3 linked regions of the Anolis sagrei genome follow. The protein of the gene in region 3 purifies or fractionates together with the protein of the main gene of each other region. This does not show direct contact. Links are inferred from orthologs where the notes say so. Each region holds a gene or a part of one and is shown on either strand. Other genes may lie near its edges.

The links. Proteins that work in one complex are often made in the same cells at the same time.
Region 1: the proteins of COPS7A (region 3) and DCAF11 purify together in Homo sapiens (affinity purification with mass spectrometry; 3 studies listed by BioGRID and IntAct, counting the BioPlex papers as one, with this or other methods). This does not show direct contact. The link is inferred for Anolis sagrei from reciprocal best matches to the Homo sapiens genes COPS7A and DCAF11.
Region 2: the proteins of COPS7A (region 3) and COPS8 purify together in Homo sapiens (affinity purification with mass spectrometry; 11 studies listed by BioGRID and IntAct, counting the BioPlex papers as one, with this or other methods). This does not show direct contact. The link is inferred for Anolis sagrei from reciprocal best matches to the Homo sapiens genes COPS7A and COPS8.

Annotation. Positions count from the first base shown.
Region 1 is NC_090026.1:8,259,120-8,267,131, reverse strand, and holds the start of DCAF11 (DDB1- and CUL4-associated factor 11), read left to right. Parts: upstream 1-4,992; 5' UTR 4,993-5,100; intron 5,101-5,435; exon of another isoform or gene 5,436-5,511; intron 5,512-5,521; exon of another isoform or gene 5,522-5,730; intron 5,731-8,012. UniProt on the Homo sapiens protein: May function as a substrate receptor for CUL4-DDB1 E3 ubiquitin-protein ligase complex.
Region 2 is NC_090021.1:163,149,372-163,156,235, forward strand, and holds the start of COPS8 (COP9 signalosome complex subunit 8), read left to right. Parts: upstream 1-3,844; 5' UTR 3,845-3,929; coding exon 3,930-4,016; intron 4,017-4,257; exon of another isoform or gene 4,258-4,464; coding exon of another isoform or gene 4,465-4,467; intron 4,468-6,864. UniProt on the Homo sapiens protein: Component of the COP9 signalosome complex (CSN), a complex involved in various cellular and developmental processes.
Region 3 is NC_090022.1:197,717,289-197,724,390, reverse strand, and holds the start of COPS7A (COP9 signalosome complex subunit 7a), read right to left. Parts: upstream 3,010-7,102; 5' UTR 2,901-3,009; intron 1,975-2,900; 5' UTR 1,943-1,974; coding exon 1,760-1,942; intron 1-1,759.

The sequences.
Region 1 (8,012 bases), on a different chromosome or scaffold from region 3:
TCAGAATTTGAAAAATAGGGGTCTATTTATTTTGAGAATAAGCATTTATTTGCGATATTTACTTTGTTGTAACTTATCTCTAATGGTAGAATGACTAATCCAGCTTTATATTATATACTAATTTATACACATATGCACATCCATATATATCAGGCATGGGGAAACTGGGGCCCCCAGGTGTTTTGGACTTCAACTCCCACAATTTCTGAAATTGTTAGGAATTGTGGGAGTTGAAATCCAAAACACTTGGAGGGCCCAAGTTTCCCCAAGCCTGATATATATGTACATAAAATATATTCTACCATTAGACACAATAAAAAGTTCAAATAAAGTAAATGTAGAAAAAATAAACCCTACTAATAATAAAAAGGAATTCACAATTTTAAAATCATCCCATTCATAACTCTTTTTTGCGTTATTTACCTATTTGATTAATATCCCACTGTTTTTCCAATGCAAGTCCTTAAGAGACATAGCTATACTTAAAAATGATTTGTTTCATTAAAAAGGAATTATTTAGTTACTTATATACTACATTTATACCTCACCCTCTCTCACTCTGAAGCGACTCAGAGCAGCTTGCAAGTTATTTCTACACTCAATATATCATATTAACATAGCACAAAATTAGCATTATATATTACTATATTCGTTTGATGAATGCAAGGCTGAGGTAAAAATTGCTGGAAGAAACATTAACAACCTTAGATATGCAAATGACACCACTTTGATGGCCGAAAGTGAGGAGGAGCTGAGGAGCCTTCTAACCAAGGTGAAAGAACAAAGTAAAAAGGCCGACCAAGGGCAAGATGGATGGATGGCATCATTGAAGTGACTGGACTGACCTTGAAGGAGCTGGGGGTGGTGACAGCCGACAGGGAGCTCTAGCATGGGCTGGTCCATGAGGTTACAAAGAGTCGGAGACGACTGAACGAATGAACAACAACAAGCTAATTCTAAAGCCAACTGCCGCTCTGAGGCCAGAGAGAAGAGAGGAAGCCAGGAAGACAGTTCCACCTTGTCTCCTGTACCACCAGTTACGGGCCCCTCCTCCCAGCAACACTATATAATACTAATATTGTGCTATGCTAATAATATAATATGTTGTATATACATATAACATTGATAATATTATAATGTAATATACTACTATTCCTAATAATACAATATAATAATAATAATAATGATATATATTCCATGTAATATTACAGTATAGTGGTATAGTAGAATATAGTAATATATAATGCTTATATATCTAATGCTTATATATAGTTATATATAGTTATATACTCTCCCCCAACCTATTCAACTTGTATGCAGAACACATCATGTGATGTGCGGGGCTTGAGGAATGCAAGGCTAGGCTGAAAATTGCTGGAAGAAACATTAACAACCTTATTGTCGAAGACTCTCATGGCCGGAATCCTGGGTTGTTGTAGGTTTTTCCGGGCTATATGGCCATGGTCTAGAGGCATTCTCTCCTGACGTTTCGCCTGCATCTATGGCAAGCATCCTTAGAGGTAGTGAGGTCTGTTGGAACTAGGAAAAAGGGTTTATATATCTGTGGAATGACCAGGGTGAGACAAAGGATTCTTGTCTGCTGGAGCTAGGTGTGAATGTTTCAACTGACCACCTTAGATATACTACACAGAGAAGCCATTGAAATCCATAAGCATGTGGACAATTTCAACAGAAAGGAGGAAACCATAAAAATCAACAAAAACTCTAAAATTGCAACAGCACAATAACAGAGAGGAAGCAGGCAGGGACATCTAATTACCTCTCAACAAAGGTTTGCCCCAGGCACAGTCAGGCCATTGTATGCTAATCAAGGTGGACAGTTGAAACATTCACACCTAGCTCCAGCAGACAATAGTCCTTTGTCTCACCCTGGTCATTCCACAGATATATAAACCCAATTGCCTAGTTCCAACAGACCTCATTACCTCTGAGGATGCTTGCCATAGATGCAGGCGAAACGTCAGAAGAGAATGCCTCTAGACCATGGCCATATAGCCCGAAAAAACTCATTAACCACCTCAGATATGCAGATGACACCACTCTGATGGCCGAAAGCGAGGAGGAGCTGAGGAGCCCTCTAATCAAGGTGAAAGAAGAATGCGCACAAGCTGGGTTGCAGTTAAACATTAAAAAAAACCAAGATTATGGCAACAAGAATGATTGACAACTGGGAAATAGAGAAAATGTGGAGGCCGTGACAGACTTTGTATTTCTAGGTGATGACTGCAGATGCAGACTGTGGCCAGGAAATCAGGAAATCAGAAGCCGCTTCCTTCTTGGGAGGAGAGCAATGTCCAATCTTGATAAAATAGTGAAGAGTAGAGACATCACACTGGCAACAAAGACCCGCATAGTTAAAGTTATGGTATTTCCCATAGTCACCTACGGATGTGAGAGCTGGACCATAGGGAAGGCTGAGCGAAGGAAGATCGATGCTTTTGAGCTGTGGTGTTGGAGGAAAGTGCTAAGAGTGCCTTGGACTGCGAGAAGATCCAACCAGTCCATCCTCCAGGAAATAAAGCCCGACTGCTCATTGAAGGGAAGAAGAGGAGAGACAAAGCTGAAGTACTTTGGCCACATCATGAGAAGAAAGGAAAGCTTAGAGAAGACAATGATGCTGGGGAAAATGGAAGGAAAAAGGAAGAGGGGCCAACCAAGGGCAAGATGGATGGATGGCACCCTTGAAGTGACTGGAATGACCTTTCCGACTCTTCGTGACCTCATGGATCAGCCCACGCCAAAGCTCCCTGTCGGCCGTCACCACCCCCAGCTCTTTCAAGGTCAGTCCAGTCACTTCAAGGATGCCATCTATCCATCTTGCCCTTGGTTGGCCCCTCTTCCTTTTGCCTTCCACTTTCCCCAGCATAATTGTCTTCTCTAGGCTTTGCTGTCTCCTCATGATGTGGCCAAAGTACTTCAACTTCGTCTCTAGTATCCTTTCCTCCAATGAGCAGTCAGGCTTTATTTCCTGGAGGATGGACTGGTTGGATCTTCTCGCAGTCCAAGGCACTCTCAGAACTTTCCTCCAACACCACAGCTCAAAAGCATCGATCTTCCTTCGCTCAGCCTTCCCTAAGGTCCAGCTCTCACATCCATGGCTTTGACTAGGTGGATCTTTGTTGCCAGTCTGATGTCTCTACTCTTTACTATTTTATTGAGACTGGACATTGCTCTCCTCCCAAGAAGGAAGCGTCTCCTGATTTCCTGGCCACAGTCTGCATCTGCAGTCATCTTTGCGCCTAGAAATACAAAGTCTCTCACGGCCTTCATATCTTCTCCCTCTATTTTCCAGTTGTCAATCATTCTTGTTGCCATAATCTTGGTTTTTTTTATGTTTAGCTGCAACCCGGCTTTTGCGCTTTCTTCTTTCACCTTGATTAGAAGGCTCCTCAGCTCCTCCTCGCTTTCGGCCATCAGAGTGGTGTCATCTGCATATTTAAGGTTGTTAATGTTTCTTCCAGCAATTTTCACCCCAGCTTTGCATTCCTCAAGCCCCGCACATCCTCGCATGATGTGTTCTGCATACAAGTTAAAAAGGTTGGGTGAGAGGATGCAGCCTTGCCATACGCCTTTCCCAATCTTGAACCAGTCTGTTGTTCCGTTGTCAGTTCTGACTGTTGCTCCTTGGTCCTTGTACAGATTCCTCAGGAGAGAGGGAAGGGGGCTTGGTATGCCCATCCCACCAAGAACTTGCCACTATTTATTATGATCCACACAGTCAAAGGCTTTAGAATAGTCAATGAAGCAGAAGTAGATGTTTTTCTGAAACTCCCTGCCTTTCTCCATTCTCCAGCATCCGGATATTGGCAATCTGGTCTCTCGTTCCTCTGCCTTTTCTAAACCCAGCTTGAACATCCGGCAACTCTCTCTCCATGTCTTGCTGGAGACTTTCTTGCAGGATCTTGAGCATTACCTTACTGGCATGAGAAATAAGGGCCACTGTACGGAAGTTGGAGCAGTCTTTCGCATTTCCCTTTTTTGGTATGGGGATATAAGTTCAGTTCTTGTGGGTTTTTTCGGGCTATATGGCCATGTTCTAGAGGCATTTCTCCTGGTCTCCACGTTTTCTCCTTCTATTTTCCAGTTGTCAGTCATTCTTGTTGCCATAATCTTGGGTTTATTTTATGTTTAGCTGCAACCCAGCTTTTGCGCTTTCTTCTTTCACCTTGATTAGAAGGTTCCTCAGCTCCTCCTCGCTTTCGGCCATCAGAGTGGTGTCATCTGCATATCTGAGGTTGTTAATGTTTCTTCCAGCAATTTTCACCCCAGCTTTGCATTCATCAATCCCCGCACATAGTATGATGTGTTCTGCATACAGCCTTGCCGTACGCCTTTCCCCATCTTGAACCAGTCTGTTGTTCCGTGGTCAGTTCTGACTGTTGCTACTTGGTCCTTGTACAGATTCCTCAGGAGAGAGGGAAGGGGGCTTGGGATGCCCATACCACCAAGAACTTGCCACAATTTATTATGATCTACACAGTCAAAGGCTTTAGAATAGTCAATGAAGCAGAAATAGATGTTTTTCTGAAACTCCCTGCCTTTCTCCATTATAGCTTTAGCTGTCCTTTAAACACACTCGGGTCAAGAAGGAGGTGGCATTTCACACAATGTGTGCTCAAAGTTTCATTTGGTTCCATTCCTGTCAGAGCCCTGAGCTGACACCAGGCTTCTCTCAAAGGCCCATCTTGCTCCTGCCAATCACTTCGCCGCTGTCCAATCAGAACCAAGTAGCCTCGCCTGGCAGAGCTGGCAGAGGTTACACAACGAAGGGCTGCCGCTCAAGCTGAAGCGACCAATGAGAGAGCGGCTTTCCGTCTTATCTCCCGCCTTTCTGGAGAATTGTCCAATGGGAGATTCGATTAACCTTATTCCCCCCCCTTCTCGCTCCTGGAACCCTAGCAGCCAATCAAAGAGACGCAACGCTTTTAAAAGCCTCGAGCCGACCCACGTGGGGTAGTGACTCGCAGCCAATCAGTGAGCAGCCGGCTTGGAACCTCCCACCTTTCGCTCCCAACTCTAGTCAGAGGCGGATTCCGCCTTAAGATGTAAACAAGGCCTCGCGCTGTGACCGTTGAGAGGGTGAGGAGGGTCTCGCGCCCGCGGGGAAGGGAGGGGGGAGGCAAAGAGCGCGCGCGCGGCCTGTGATTGGCTGAGCCGAGCGCGGCGCGAGGAGAGGGGAGGGGGAGGAGTAGAGGGAAAGAGACGGCAGGTCGGTTCGAACGAAGGCAAGCGGAAGGCGCTCTGATTGGTGGGGAGGACGGATGGAACGTTGAGGGTTGGGAGGGCGGCGTTGGGTTAGCCAGAGTGTCCCCCCAATATGTTGAGCGCTGATTGGAGGAAGCCCCGAGTACGGCGCGTGCTTATTGGAGGAGAGGCCTTAAAGGGTTTTCTTAGCCCTCTAATTGGCTCAGTGGACTTCTCCCATCTTGATTGGTGGCTGGAGGAGGTGGGGTGTTGAGGGATGAGGGAAAATAACAGTGTAAACTCTGGGTAAGGAGTGATTTTCACAGATAGGCCTCACCAGAATGGAGTTTAAAAGGGAGCCAGTGCGTTCTCTTTAGTACTGACGACTGTGATTGAATGTGGTTAGAATACAATCCAATGAGAATGTCATGGAAACAAGGGAGACTGAGAGCATTGTATTCTAGTATCTGGAAGTTGTAGAGTTGGCGCACTGCAAAGGATAGCCAGTCAGGAGGGGGATGATAGGTAAGTAAGTACAATACCCTCCCAATTAATTGGAACTCTCAAGAAGTGTAATACAATATAACACCAATAATAATATAATTATATATTTTATATTAAATGTAATATTACTACTACTAATAATAATGGTATAGTATAATGTAGTAATATATAATACTGATATTTATTTATCATGTGAGGAGCAAAGCAGATTTATTTATTTACTTACTTACTTTATTTGTATACCGCTCTTCTCAGCCCTTAGGCGACTCAGAGCGGTTTACAACAGTTTAGATATACAGAATACAAAATCATTATGCATTTAAAAACAATTACTAGTATTATATTGCATTACATTACAATATTATAAATATTATATGTATATACAATATATTATATTATAACATATTATTAGAATAGCACAGGAGACAAGGTGGAACTGTCCCCTGGCCCCTCTTTCTTCCCTCTGGCCCAGAGCGGCAGTTGGTGCTGGGGGGAGGGGTCCCCAACGGATGGCAAATGCAGGAGACAAGATGGTGCTGTCCCCTGGCCTCCCCTCTCTTCACTCTGGCCCAGAGCGGCAGTTGGTGCAGATAGTTGTATATCATTTTTTTAACAAACAGACAAACAAACAAAACACAAAGTTTGCAAGCTTGGTAATTGATTAAATGTCCCTTGACCAGTAGCTGGCCACTTGAAGTTCTTCTGGTGTTACTATAAGAAGGTCCTCCATTGTGCATGTGGCAGGGCTCAGGTTGCATTGCAGCAGGTGGTCTGTAGTTTGCTCTTCTCCACACTCGCATGTCGTGGATTCCACTTTGTGGCCCCATTTCTTAAGGTTGGCTCTGCATCTCGTGCCAGAGCTCAGTCTGTTCAGCGCCTTCCAAGTCGCCCAGTTTTCTGTGTGCCCAGGAGGGAGTTTCTCATTTAGTATCAGCCATTGACTGAGGTTCTGGGTTTGAACTTGCCAGTTTTGGACTCTCGCTTGCTGTTGATCTTAGAAAACTATTTCTTGATTTAAGTCGTTGAAGTGCTGGCTGATACCCAAACAGTGGGTGAGCTGGAGATGTCACTGCCTTGGTCATGAGAGAAGCCTCCTCGCAGGATTGCAAGACATCCGGGCATCCACTGGGCAACGTCTTCGTAGATGGCTGATTCTCTCACTCCACAAACGACTTGCAGCATACTGATATTGTACTATGCATAATATATTGTATGTGTATATGTATCTTGTAAGCCGCTCTGAGTCCCCTTTGGGGTGAGAAGGGCGGCATATAAATAAATAAATAAATAAATAAGAAGCTGGCAAAATAATTTATTAGTATTATATTTATTTACATCTTGTTTTATCCTTCCCAAAAGGGACTCAAAGTGGCTTGATTAAAATTCCATACTGCATCCCCAAAGCTGTATTTATAACACAATTTTATTTATTGTGTCAGAAGCAAATTTTTTTCATGTCAGGAGCAACTTGAGAAACTACAAGTCGCTTCTGGTGTGAGAGAAGTGCCCGTCTGCAAGGATGTTGCCCAGGGGATACCCAAATGTTTTGATGTTTTACCAGCCTTGTGGGAAGCTTCTCTCATGTTCCCAAATGGTGAGCTGGAGCTGTCAGATGGAGCTCATCCATGCTCTCCCTGGATTCGAACCTCCAACCTGTTGGTCTTCAGTCCTGTCAGCACAAAGGTTTAACCCATTGCGTCACCGGGGGTTCATTATAATGTATAAAAACCACAAAGAAAGTTAAAATCTTGGCATTTTGCTAAATTTCCTTTGAGCAGAATCTAGCCACTTGGAGTGCCTCTGGTGTCGCTGTGAGAAGATCCTCCATTGTGCATTTGGCAGAGCTCAGGTTGCATTGTAGTCAGTGGTTTGCTTTTCTCAGCCCCATTTCTTAAGATTGGCTCTGCATCTTGTGGTGCCAGAGCACAGTGCCTTCCAAGTCGCCCAGTCTTTTGTGTGCCCAGGAGGCAGTTTCTCATTCGGTCTCAGCCACTGGCTGATGTTCCGGGTATTAGCCTGCTTCTTTTGCAGTCATGCTTGCTGAGGTGTTCCTGCAAGTATCTCTGTAGATCTTAGGAAACTGTTTCTTAATTTAAGATGTTGGCATGCTGCCTGATATCAGAACAGAGGATGAGCCAGAGTTGTCAGTGCCTTGATCCCGGCGGATATCAAGGGGTGCAATACCGGCAAAAAAGTATAATTTCTCTAGTGGTGTTGGGAATAGACATTCTGTGATAATTCAGCATGACTCATTTAGAGCCACATCCACTGTTTTAACATGGTGGGATCTATTCCATACTGGG
Region 2 (6,864 bases), on a different chromosome or scaffold from region 3:
ACATTGGGAATTTCCAACAAATCTTGGTCCTCAGAATGGAGGGATCTCTGGGGTTGGTAGGGGGTGTGGCGGTTCCTCAGGTACATCAGCCCCCGACCATGCAAGGCCTTAAAGGTAAGTACCATCACTTTGAAAGTGATCCGGTGCTCAATTGGTAACCAATGCAGCTGCAGTAAGATTGGTGTTATGTGGCATCTCATCGGAATTGTTGTCCATGAGAACTCCAAGATCTTTTTCACACATACTGCTCTCAAGCTAGGCGTCCCCCATTCTGTATCTTTGCATTTCATTTTTTCTCCCTAAGTGGAGTATCTTGCATTTGTCCCTGTTGAATTTCATTTTGTTAGTTTTGGCCCATCTCTCTAATCTGTTAAGATCATTTTGAATTCTCCTGTCCTCTGGAGTACTGGCTATCCCTCCCAATTTGGTGTCATCTCAAAACTTAATGATCCTGCCTTCTAACCCTTCGTCTAAGTCATTAATAAAGATGTTGAACAGGGCCCAGGACAGAGCCCTGCTTGTGGCACTTCGCTTGTCACTTCTTTCCAGGATGAAGAGGAAGCATTGGTGAGCACCCTCTGGGTTCGTCCGCTTAACCAATTACTGGTCCACCTCACCGTAGTTTTGCCTAGCCCGCATTGGACTAGTTTGTTTGCCAGAAGGTCATGGGGGACCTTGTCGAAGGCTTTACTGAAATCCAGGTACGCTACATCCATGGCATTCCCCACATCTGCCCAGCTTGTAACTCTATCGAAAAAAGAGATCGGATTAGTCTGGCATGACTTGTTTTTGCTAAATCCGTGTTGACTATTAGTGAACTCTCATGTTTCCACAGCACTGAGCCATGCCAATCAAAGTTGTATCATACAACACTATTATTTGACTGACACAAAAACACAGTATGTCACAGCAAATGAGAGATATATGCTGCATTATTATTATTATTATTATTATTATTATTATTATTATTATTTCTTACCCTCCTCTCCTCATGGCTTGAGGTGGGTTACAACATTGTTAAACCATACTTTCATCTAAAAACATTCTTTAAAATACCCATATTAAAACTTGTCTTAAGAAGGAGCCCCTGGTGGCGCAGTGGGTTCGAATCCGGGGAGAGGCGGATGAGTTCCCTCTATCAGCTCCAGTTTCTCATACGGGGTCATGAGAGAAGCCTCCCACAAGGATGATAAAAACATCAAATCATCCGGGTGTCCTTGAAGACTGACAATTCTCTCACACCAGAAGCGACTTGCAGTTTCTCAAGTCACTCCTGACATGACAAAAAAAAATCAGGTGCCTAAAGCAGATCGCTGTCATTTCCCTGCAACCAGCTCTCCATTTCTCCTTCCTCCAGCTCAACCTCTTCGGCAGGGAGATGGGCGGGAACTAAAGCCGTTGCTGTTGCAGTGGAGGCCTTCCCTTTTGCAACTTTGGGAGCAGGTGATGGTTTTTGGCTGGGGGGTTTATCACCCATGATCAGGCTTGTTCCTTTTGGGCATTCTGCCACCACCGGCCCTCGCACCCACATGTGAAGCATGTCCCTCGCCTTCCCTTCCTCTCTCTGCTCATCGACCAGCCTCTTGGGGAAGGGTGTCACATCCCTCCGGCTTGACCCACCGCTGGATGCCTGGTACGGCCCTCCTCTCTGGAACGACGCGGCATCTGCTCTTTGTTGTATTTCACTCTCCTGGCCAACATAATCCAATTGTCTAAGTTGTCTGGATTGCCAGGATACGGAAGAAAATGTTTTTAAGTACAAGAGGGAACTTTCTTACACAGGATGCTTGTGGTTAACTTCAAATGTTGTTTTTGAAGCGCAGAGGCTGCATATACAAGAAGGTACTTTCCATCAAAAAGTCAAGAGAGGGGGGTGGAAAGGGAGTACTTTTCCATGACAAAAAATGTTCTTGTTTACTTGAGGTTATATATTTGGTGGTCAAAAGCCAAGGGGGCACGGCAGTCATTTGAAGGGTAGCATCTGCGCATGCTGCCCGGCTGTCCGTCTTCTTCATGAAGAAACTAAAATAAAACCTTGTTTTTTAATCTTTCATTGGGACTGTCTTCTTCCTTCCGTGCTCCTGCAACGTGGACCTAAAACGACCCAATTTAGGGTTTCTAACACTACAAAGCGTAGAGCTTTTTCGACCTATGCTCCAATTCTGTGGAACTCATTGCCTCCATACATTAGAGCAATGTCGGAGTTGCGACCTTTTGTAAAGGCACACAAGACTTGGTTGGTTGTGCATTTAAGTAATCAGATCTAATTTGCCAAATAGTCACTGTTGTATGTTTTTATGTTGAATGTTTTTATATTGTGTAAATGCTATTTTAGATTGTAAGTCGCTCGGAGCCCCTTGGTGGAGAACGACTAATTAAGAAATAAAGTGAAGTGAAGTGAAGTCACAGTGAATTCTATAGTACAGGGGTCCTCAAACTAAGGCCTGGGGGCTAAATACGACCCTCCAAGGTCATTTACCTGTTCCTCGCTCAGAGTCAATCTAAGTCTGAAACGACTTGAAAGCACACAATAACAACAATCCTATCTCATCAGCCAAAAGCAGGTCCACACTTCTCATTGAAATACTAATAAGCTTATATTTGTTAAAATTGTTCTTCATTTTAATTATTATATTAATTTTACGTGTTTTTTGCATTACAGTTAATATATGTGCACTGTACATATGAATTCACTCATGTTTTTTTTTTCAAATTATAATCCGGCCCTCCAAGTTTGAGGGACTGAGGGAGACTGAGGGTCTGGAGAACAAGCCTATGAGGAGCGGCTTAAGGAGCTGGGCATGTTTAGCCTGAAGAAGAGAAGGCTGAGAGGAGATATGATAGCCATGTATAAATATGTGAGAGGAAGCCACATGGAGGAGGGAGCAAGCTTGTTTTCTGCTTCCCTGAAGACTAGGACATGAAACAATGGCTTCAAACTACAAGAGAAGAGATTTCATCTGAACATAAGGAAGAACTTCCTGACTGTGAGAGCCGTTCAGCAGTGGAACTCTCTGCCCCGGAGTGTGGTGGAGGCTCCTTCTTTGGAAGCTTTTAAACAGAGGCTGGATAGCCATCTGTCAGGGGTGATTTGAATGCAATATTCCTGCTTCTTGGCAGGGGGTTGGACTGGATGGCCCATGAGGTCTCTTCCAACTCTTTGATTCTATGATTCTATGTGTCCAGAGGAGGGTGACTAAAATGATCAAGGGTCTGGAGAACAAGCCTATGAGGAGCGGCTTGAGGCTCATGTTTAGCCTGAAGAAGAGAAGGCTGAGAGGAGATATGATAGCCATGTATAAATATGTGAGAGGAAGCCACGGGGAGGAGGGAGCAAGCTTGTTTTCTGCTTCCTTGGAGACTAGAACGCGGAACAATGGCTTCAAACTACAAGAGAGGAGATTCCATCTGAACATGAGGAAGAACTTCCTGACTGTGAGAGCCGTTCAGCAGTGGAACTCTCTGCCCCGGAGTGTGGTGGAGGCTCCTTCTTTGGAAGCTTTTAAGCAGAGGCTGGATGGCCATCTGTCAGGGATGCTTTGAATGCAATATTCCTGCTTCTTGGCAGGGGGTTGGACTGGATGGCCCATGAGGTCTCTTCCAACCCTTTGATTCTATGATTCTATGACTGTGACCTGGCCCTCTGTTTAAAAAGTTTGTGGACCCCTGCTATTTTAGATGCACTATCAACCGGCTAAAACTTTAAATGCGGGTCACGCGGCATTCTTCCCTTTTTCTATCTCTATGGTCCTGAGCGTTCTCCTAAAGCGGGACCCGCTCGTCACAAACTGGCGAATCGCTGGAGAGGATTGGGGAGACGTCACCACGGTGAGGCCGGAAGTACGTAGCAGCGTGCGGTGGTCCCACCTCCGTCTCCAGGAAGCACCCGTCTTCCCGCTTCATCGGCGGGAGTGGGACAGGGTGCGAAGATGCCAGTGGCCGTGATGGCGGCGGCGGCGAGTGGCGCCTTCAGCTACCGGAAGCTGCTGGAGCAATGCGAGACTCAGGAGCTGGAGGTCAGGAAGGGAACCGGGCGTGGAATAGGCTTTCCTCGCCTCTCGCTTTCGAGTCTGGGACGGGGCCCTCCTCGTCACCCTCACAAACCCAGGGTTTGACCGTCTCGCCTGAAAGCCGGGGTTTCCCTAGGCCGAAGGAGCAAAGTGGGAATGAATGGGCCGCCCTCACCAGTTCCTCTATGGACACATGCTAGAATGAGTGCGGTTGGCTACCATGGCTTAATTCTGGGACGCATGGAAGTGGTAGTTCTACAAGGCCTTTTAGCCTCCTCTGCCGAGTGTTTCAATAAACTACAAACACTGTGATTCCAGAGCATTCAGCCATGTGGTGTCCCCTTCACTGCTATATAATCCACATTATCAAAGCAGATAGTCCACAATATTTGCTTCGATTATATGAGTCTACATTGCTAAATAATCCAGTTCAAAGAAGATAGTCTGGATTTATATGGTATTTATTTATTATTATTTGTCGTGTCAGTGCAACCAATCAATTATATTACATTTCTAACATAACAAAGCAAACAAACAGACAAAATACAAAATTTGTGAGTTTGGTAGTTGATTAAATGTCCTTTGACCAGTATCTGGCCACTTGAAGTGCTTCTGGTGTTGCTGCAAGAAGGTCCTCCATTGTGCATGTGGCAGGGCTCACGGTGCATCACAGCAGGTGGTCAGTGGTTTGCTCCTCTCCACACTCGCATGTCGTGGATTCCACTTTGTAGCCCCATTTCTGAAGGTTGGTTCTGCATCTCGTGGTGCCAGAGTGCAGTCTGTTCAGCGCCTTCCAAGTCGCCCAGTTTTCTGTGTTCCCAGGGGGGAGTCTCTCATTTGGTATCAGCCATCGGTTGAGGTTCTGGGTTTGAGCCTGCCACTTTTGGACTATCGCTTGCTGAGGTGTTCCAGCGAGTGTCTCTGTAGATCTTGGAAAACTATTTCTTGATTTAAGTCGTTGACGTGCTGGCTGATACCCAAACAGGGGATGAGCTGGAGATGTCTCTGCCTTGGTCCTTTCACTATTGGCTGCTACTTCCCGGCAGATGTCAGGTGGTGCAATACCAGCTAAGCAGTGTAATTTCTCCAGTGGTGTAGGGCGCAGACACCCCATGATAATACGGCATGTCTCATTAAGAGCCACATTTTATATGGTAGTGTATAAACTTTCTCAAACTGCATTCCTTCCACAGTATGGATGCACCTATAGTTTTTAAAACACAGTTGCCGTGATTTCAAAGAAATTCATATGAATGAAGAGCAGCGTTTCTCAAACTAGCTCTGCTCTTCCAGGTCTTTTGGACTTCAGATCTCAAAAATGCTAACAGTTTACCAGCTGTTAGGAATTGTGGGATCTGAAGTCCAAAACATCTGGAGGAATACAGTTTGAGAAACTCAGATTAGAGAAAAACATCTCATGAGATGTGATCTTCTTGGTATTTGTATAGCTGTGCCCTGCCACGCGTTGCTGTGGCCTATAGTAAAACTTATCAAAGTTGAGGTAGATATCTGGACTATTATGAAAGAGAGGTCCCTACCTATTCCTTCCCCCTTTTCCTCCCCCTTTCTCTCCTTTCTTCCTTCTCTACCTCTTTCTTTCTTTCACTACTTGGTTTCATCCTTCTCTCTTTCCTTCATTCCCTCCCCCTTTCTTCCTTTGCCTTTCTTCCCTCCCTGTTTGCTTCCTTCTTTCACTTTTTATTTCCTTTTATTTCACCAGCATCATAACAATAACAATAATGCAATGCATTGCCTCCGGGACCTGACACCTCTCCCATTCCCCCTAAAAGGGTCTCATAGGAATAATAGCATCATAATAATCATAGAAATAACAACCTTTACCCGCCACGTGTTGCTGTGACCAACCTTCCCTCTTTCTCTCCTTCTTTCCCTCCTTCCTTCCTTCCCTCCCATCTTTCCTTCTCCTCTTCCTTCTCTATCTCCTTCCTTCCCCCTTTTTCTTTCTCTTCTGGCCTCTTTCCTTCCTTCTCTCTTTCCTTCTTTCCTTCCCTCCCTCTTTCTCTACATCTTCCCCCTTCCTTCACTCCCTCTTTCCTTCCTTCATTCCCTTTTTTCTTTCCTTCTCTCCTTCCTTCCTTCCCCCTTTTTCTTTCCCTCCCTCTGTCTCTCATTTCTTCCTTCTCTACCTCTTTCCTTCCTTCCCCCTTTTTCTTTCTCTTCTGCTGTCTCTCTTTTCTTTCCTTCCATCTTTCCTTTTCTTCTTCCTTCTTTCTCTAACTTTCCTTCCTTCCCCCTTTTCTTTATCTCCCTTTCTCTTTCTTCCTTCTTTCCTTCCTTCCTGTCTTTCCTGGATTTTGACAGGGCGGGAAGGGGTGCGGTGGGGTTTGGAGGTGGCATGAAGTAAAAGGAGGTAAGATTGGGGCAGGCGAGTGATGGAGCGTGAGGTTGTGTGTGTGTGTGCGGCAGCGGGGGGAGTGATGGAGCGTGGGGTTGCGTGTGTGTGTGCGGCAGCGGGGGGGAGTGGGGTTGCGCGTGTGTGTGTGGCGGTGGGGGAGTGATGGAGCGTGGGGTTGCGTGTGTGTGTGCGGCGGGGGAGTGATGGAGCGTGGGGTTGTGTGTGTGCGTGCGGCGGGGGTGTGTGTGCGGGAAGCGGCGCGGCGGGGCTTGGAGTGGGCATGGCTTCCGCAGAGGGAACTGTGTGCGCGCGCCAGGGAACTTGCGGCTGGGCACCAATGCGCATGCTCAGTTGTTTTGCCATTTTGTGAGTGTGTTGTTGTGTTGTTTTTCATTTTGAGTAGATATGTTTGTACCTTATGGGTTGTGTTATGGGCATGGGAATTTTGGTTAAGTTTCGTTGGGGGGTTTGTGAGTTTTGTTGATTTGCCGTTTTGTG
Region 3 (7,102 bases):
CAACAATTCTTACCGCTTACTTTTCCCCAGCTTGTCCCAAAGCCTGTGCTTCCAAAATTTTTCATTTCATTGCTAATGAAATAAAACTTTTCTTCTCACCGTTTTAAGGCACAGAATTTTCAAATATGAGCAACAAATGAATTTTATGAGCCAGTCCCATGAACCACACTAGTGGACTGTACTTGTAACTGTGGTGAAAAATACATTATTTATCTGGGCCTAGAGTTAATATGATGAAGTGCTCTTCCATATAATAAAACAAATTCTCTGTACATATAATACTAGATAAGGATATCCTAGCTTACTGTGGGCAGAACTTCTGTTGCTGAATGATGGCACAAAACACAGTACTTTAACCTTTCACCTGAAGTCTAGATTGGTGCAACCCAAAGAAATATCTACATCCTGGTGAAAATTGTTGCACACGTACGATTCCAAATTCCTCATGGTAGCACAACACTCTGGTGTGAGAGATGCTGCATTTTAACTGGTGAAGTGCAATGTTTATATATATTCTACGATGTTTATATGTATAATGTTTTAATGGTTTAAATCATGTTTATGTGTTTATTGATTTTAATTAATCATACTATGTATCGCTCTGAATTTTGCCAAATTGTAAGCCGCTCTGAGTCCCCCCCGGGAATGGTGCAATGTTAATTTTCCTCTATGTTTTAGGTGATTGTGTTTTTATGCATAGCGTTTTAAGGGTTTAATTCATGTTTATATGTTATTGATTTTGGTTAATGTTATGTATTGCTTTTATATGTATATTGGCATGTTGTACACTGCTCAGAGAGACAGCAGTATAGAAATGCAGTAAATAAATAAATATAGTAAATAAATAAGAAACATTGTGTGCTGGACTAAATGGATTCCTGCTCAGTCAGACAGCTTACTAGGCGACCTTGTACCAATTCCTCGCAGGTTTGTTTTGAAGAGGAAGAAGCAGGGAACCATATACATCAATTCAAGCCATTTGGAAGAACAATGGAATAAAAGTGCAATGACCCATAATTTGTCTAGGTTTTTAAGGTCAAAAGGTTCAAAAGCAACATACTCATCCCCCCCCCCCCCCCCATAACACAACTTTGATTTCGCTGTTAGTTACATAAACACAGGATGCTTCCGGCTTTGAAAAATTATTTGGGAGAATAATGTGCGAGGCTTATGACAATGGTTCCTCAACTTTCTCCTTTCAACACTGACATCAGCTGAAATCCTGAGTAATGCAAACTAATACCTTACCCTCAAACACATTGTTCTTCCTCTGCCTATCAGCATAGATGCTGAGAGAAATGTCTCTGCTCTTACTGGTGTCCTTCAAGAATAACTGAAGTCTTCCTAAAGACCTCAATAACATTGTTTTCATTGTTGCTGACTCATGACATTTCTCCAGTGGTTATGAGAAAAGGCCCCTAACCCTTCTTCATTAATGCTAATAGACCTTGTAACAGGAAGCCAATGAGAAAACTAATCAAACTGTGCAGGCACAAACAAACTTCATACCTCCAAGTGTATTAGACTTCAAACATCTGGAGGGCCGAAGTCTGCCCATGCCTGGTTTAGAAACATGTTTGCCCAAATAAGGCCCTTTGCTCTGGGAAACAATTTAGTGTGGCCTTTTATAACATCAAAGCATTAAGGCAGTCTTAAAAGGCAGAACTGGGGTTGCTCAGACTCAGGGAAACCCCCAATCCCTCCAGCCGCCTTCCAGGAATTATACAGATTTGGCCCCTGAGGGCCGGTCAGGGCTCACCTCTCGGACGTTGGGCATGTCAAGCAGCTCTCCAAAAACATAGATGCCAGGGGCCTCCAGCACTTGGTGGATGAGGCTGGCCAAGGCTGCTCCCCGGGCAGACTTTGCCAGCAGCAGGAACTGCTCCTGGTTCTGCCCCGTCACTTTTACTTCCACTTCGGCTGCCATGGAGTCGCCCCGCATTCTGCTCCAGGGCCAGGACACAGGCCCGCCGCCTGAAGGATGGATGGAAGGAGCAAGCAAGTATCACCAGCAGAGCTTTTCCAGCAGGCTCTTCCGGCAGGCTTGCCCAGTCAATTTTAAAACTCAGTTTTAAATTTACATTCTATTACTATTGTACTTTATCTTTTGTACCATGTATTTTAATATATACATTTTATTTTGCATATTTTTATAGGTGTTTTAACTGTGTTGTCGTCATCCCCCGTTCCCCGTCCCCCCCAATTGAACCTGATATGAGCTGAAACTGGCTGTAACACACTGACGGATTCCAGCATCCCCTCACAAGTGGTAGAACCGGTCTCCTAAACATCACATTCTAACCAGACTGTGGTATATCTACCCCACTAAAGAAACACTATGTAACACGATTTTTGTTCCTGGATAATAAATGTCATTTCCTGATTTGTTCTATCATAACAATATGGGAAAAGTTTATTAAACTGCAAAAATTGTGTTTTTGCGGGGCATCCTGCAGCACGTTTTGCTATAATTTTTCAATTAATATCTGACCAAATCTCAAATAATTCAACAGTTTGTGGTAGCCATAAAAACAAAGTTTCTGGAGTATATCAACTACTTTCAAAGTAAGTATCACATAATTACAAATAAAGTAATTAGTAAAGCGGTATACAAATAAATAAATAAATAAACAGGAAATAACACTTTCAAACCAGGAACAGATCAAACTTTCAAAAATGTACCCAATCACTTCGGTCCAGAGCTTGGTAACTGGTGTCTTAGAGCAACAAAGTAGGCCTCGGGGAACTCTGCGGGCCGAGCCCCCCAAATCGAGGCAGGCCCCTCATTCCCCGTGACACACAGAACATTCCAGGCTGCACATACAGCCCAGAGAGGCGGCTAGCGCCCCAAATGCGCGTTTGCGGGTGGGTGAAGGGGCCGAGGCCCTCTGGCGCCCTACCTGAGGGGTTCCCGCCCGGACCCGCCACGGTTGCTGTCACCGCCACCCCTCTCGCCGGGAGACAGACCACTTCCGGGTTGGTGCCGTCACAGCTACCCCGCAGGCACCGCCTCCTAGTCTTCTCATTGGCTGGCAGCGCCTGACAGACATCCCGCGCGCGGCTTTGAGGCGCCTCTAGGAGGCGGGGCTTGACGGCTTCCGCCCAGGAAGGCGCCCCGCCCCGCCCCCTTCGAGGCTCCTCCCCCTTCGAGGCTGTTGCTTCTGTTTACAGCCAGTACTTCCTCCATTTAACCATAGCAACAGCAAGTGGTCTGCTGCGAAGGGAGTCGATGTCCTGAAATGCTACCTGTATATGGTCCCCTATTGTCCAGTTATCTCTCTCAGTGTCAATTATACTGTTGGTAGCCATCCTCAACTACCAATTTTCTTTACGCCAGGCCACCTCAGGCTGTGGCCCTCCAGCTCTTTGGGCCTCCCAACTCCCAGCTTGTTCAGTAGCCAGGGATTCTGGGAATTGGAGGCCCAAAAAACTGGAGGGCCACAGTTTGATGATATTCCTGCTTAAGGCCTTTCTTAAGAAACCTGCCTTCACTCTCTTCCAGAAATAAAGCTTTATAGGTGGGTCATGAAAGCAACACTTCACTGAATAAGGAGAAAATAGGCCGAGGATCCTACTGTACACGAAACGCTGTGAAATAATACGGTGTTATCTGTATGCAGATTACGTCTAAACCTGTCACTCCTTCCCACCTGTTATTAAGGTGGCTGTCCAGACCTTGAACCGGTGCGTGGCCGCTGGGTCGTATTGGATGAGGGCTAACAAATTGAAATTGAATCCAGACAAGACAGAGGTTCTCTTGGTCAGTAGAAAGGCCGAACAGGGCATAGGGTTACAGCCTGTGCTGGATGGGGTTACACTTCCCCAGAAGACGCAGGTTCGCAGCTTGGGATAGATCCTGGACTCATCGCTGAGCCTGGAAACAGAGAAAAACTTGTGCGCCAGCTGTGCCTGTACCTTAGGAAGTCTGATCTGGCTATGGTTGTCCACGCTCTAGTTACATCCCGAATAGATTACTGCAACGTGCTCTACATGGGGCTGCCTTTGAAGACAGCTCGGAAACTCGAGCTAGTCCAACAGGAGGCAGCCAGATTACTAACTGGGGCAACATACAGGGAACATATCACCCCCCTACTATGCCAGCTCCACTGGCTGCTGGTCCACCTCCGAGCCCAATTCAAAGTTCTGGTTTTGACCTATAAAGCTCTATATGTTTCTGACCCAGTTTACTTGTCCGAACGCATCTGCCTTTATGTCCCATCCTGCAATCTAAGATTGTCCAGGGAGGCCCTGCTCTCGCTTCTGTCAACATCGCAAACGCGTTTGGCGGGAACAAGAGACAGAGCCTTCTCAGCTGTGGCCCCCCCCCCACCTATGGAATGCACTCCCAAATGAAACTGATTGAAGATTGATTCCATCCCTCCTGGCTTTCAGGAAAAAAAAAAATTAAAATTGTGGTTTTGGGACCAGGCCTTTGGGCAGCAGACGTAATTTACACCTTAGTGGACTTTGACTGGAATGGCGTTGTGGCAGATGACATTGTCATTTTGTTTTACTGTTTTAATTAATGCTATATGTACTGGTTTTAATTACTGTTTTTGTATTTGATTGTGTTTATATTATTGTAATTGTGATGTAGCGGCCTTGCACCGTTACTAATGTAAGCCGTCTTGAGTCCCCCTTCAGGGGTAGAAAAGAGACGGGGTATAAATATCATAAATGAATGAATAAATAAATAAATAATTTCTTACCACCTCTCCCTATGGCTTAAGGTGGTCATGATTTTCATATCTGGACTTGGAGAATGGAGACGGCGGTCAAGAAAGAAGATGACTAGGACTTGGGTGGGCAGCTATAAAGAAACTTGACAACTTGACGCCTTGGAGGTGTCTACAGACAATGCCAGCTCTTCGACTTAGAAATCGATATGAGCATCACCCCCCAGAGTTGGACATGACTAGACTTAATGTCAAGGGGAAACCTTTACATATGTGTGTGTGTAAAACTTGTCCATGCCAATGTACTTCCAATTTCTATATATGGTTGTGAAAGTTGACCAGCGAGTAGAACAGATAAAAAGAGAAAGTCAATTCATTTGAAATATGGTGCTGGAAAAGGGTTATGGATACAGTTATGGACAGTTAAATGCACTAATAAATGGGTCCTAAAGCAAATCAAGCCTGAATCGACACTGATGTAAATTGTGTCCAATATTATGAGAAGACATGACTCACTGGAAATGACTAATCCTCAATAAAATCAAAGGTGGTAGGAAAAGAGGAAAACCACATTCCAGGTGGATAGACTCAAACAAGGAAGCTACAACCCGAGTCTCTTAATAGTTAATAAGCATAAGGTGGTATAGGGACAAAGGAAAATAGAAGGTAGTCATATTCTGTGTACCATAGGAGTTTCTTTACGTGGTTGAGAAAACTGGACAGCAAAGAGACCTGCAGGGAAGAACATTAATTCATTTGAAACTTGGTGCTGAAAGTCAGTTTTACAGATATCGCAGAGTGCCAGAAGAATTAAGTGGGTCTAAAAGCAAATTAAGTCTGCATTCTCTCTAGAACCCAAAGGGACTGACAAAAGTATCATACTCCTCATAAGATGAGATGATACATTGGAAAAGATGATACTTGGAAAAATATAAGGTAGGACAAAAGGAAGATCACTTGATGCCAAACAACAACGTACACTTGAGGGGTTTGTCCCAGAATATCATAAAGTTAATCTCAAAAGAAGTACCAAGAGGAAATGGATGAAAAAAACTCTCTCTCTTCATGAAGCCAAAAACACCAGGAATACAAACACAAGAAATCAACTAACCCAAAGTTCCTCAAAGTGGACAAGAGCAAGCAGAAGTCTTCCAAAGCGGACAAGAACATGAGGGCAACTGCTCTCTTGAAGCCCTAAACTCCTGTCCTCTGGTTCTAGCACTCCCTCTGGCACTAGCTCGTAACTCAAAACACTGCTCATATGTCAAAGCAAAACCTGGGCTGAGCAACCTTTCTTACCTCAAAACCTTCTTAAGTAGGGCCACTCTTAAGTTGAGATTCCACTATATATAAGTCATCATATCCAGAATGCAGTCGTCCTACTCAGTGTGTTTACAGTATTGTAAAAGTCCCAAATAAGTAATATAACCAAAGCTACAGTAACCATTTTATATGTTATTATTCCTGACAGGAGTTTTTATCTAATCAATCAGAAGTGTCAGTCTATTACCTTATTATCCTTATTGATACCTCAGGTTTTCATTTGCTACATGGCAAAGCAGCCTTTAAGATTTTTTTTTTTTTTGGTCGTGTCAGGAGTGACTCCTGGTGTGAGAGAATTGGCCATCTGCAAGGACATTGCTCAGGGGACGCCTGGATGATTTGATGTTTTTATCATCCTTGTGGGAGGCTTCTCTCATGTCCCCGCATGAGGAGCTGGAGCTGATAGAGGGAGCTCATCCGCCTCTCCCCGGATTCGAACCTGCGACCTGTCGGTCTTCAGTCCTGCCGGCACAGAGGTTTAACCCACTGCACCACTGGGGGCTCCTAACCTTTAAGATGATGGGGACACACACTAACAAAGCATGTTTAATTAAAAAGTACTTCTTAAAAAGTAACTTTCCAAAAGTGTCGCTCCTGCCCCACCTCCCAATCTGCCTCTCTTCCTCCCCAGCCTTTAAGATGATGGGGAGGAAGAGAGGCAGATTGGGAGGTGGGGCAGGAGCGACACTTTTGGAAAGTTACTTTTTAAGAAGTACTTTTTAATTAAACATGCTACTTGCTCTACAATTCTTCCCACATTATTTGTTAGTGTGTGCTTTGCAATTGTTATAAAATGACTCATTATATTATTTGGAACATTTCACTGTTTCTCCTTTCATTTAAAAGGATCCCTTAGGATTGAAGATAATGACGCAACACTTGAAAAGCTCTTATCAAAATGTCTCCAACATGCTTAAGAAGTTTTTAAGAAGAAGTTGTTGTTATGTAATAGAGAAAACAATATGACTCCCATGCATAACCATTTTCAAATGGCAAGTTGCTATTCCCTGTTGGAGGTAACATCACTACTTGTAGCATGCTCTTTCCATGTTGTGGAAAGATTTGTGGTATGTGTAAGGATGTATATGTGTGTACATAAGCAC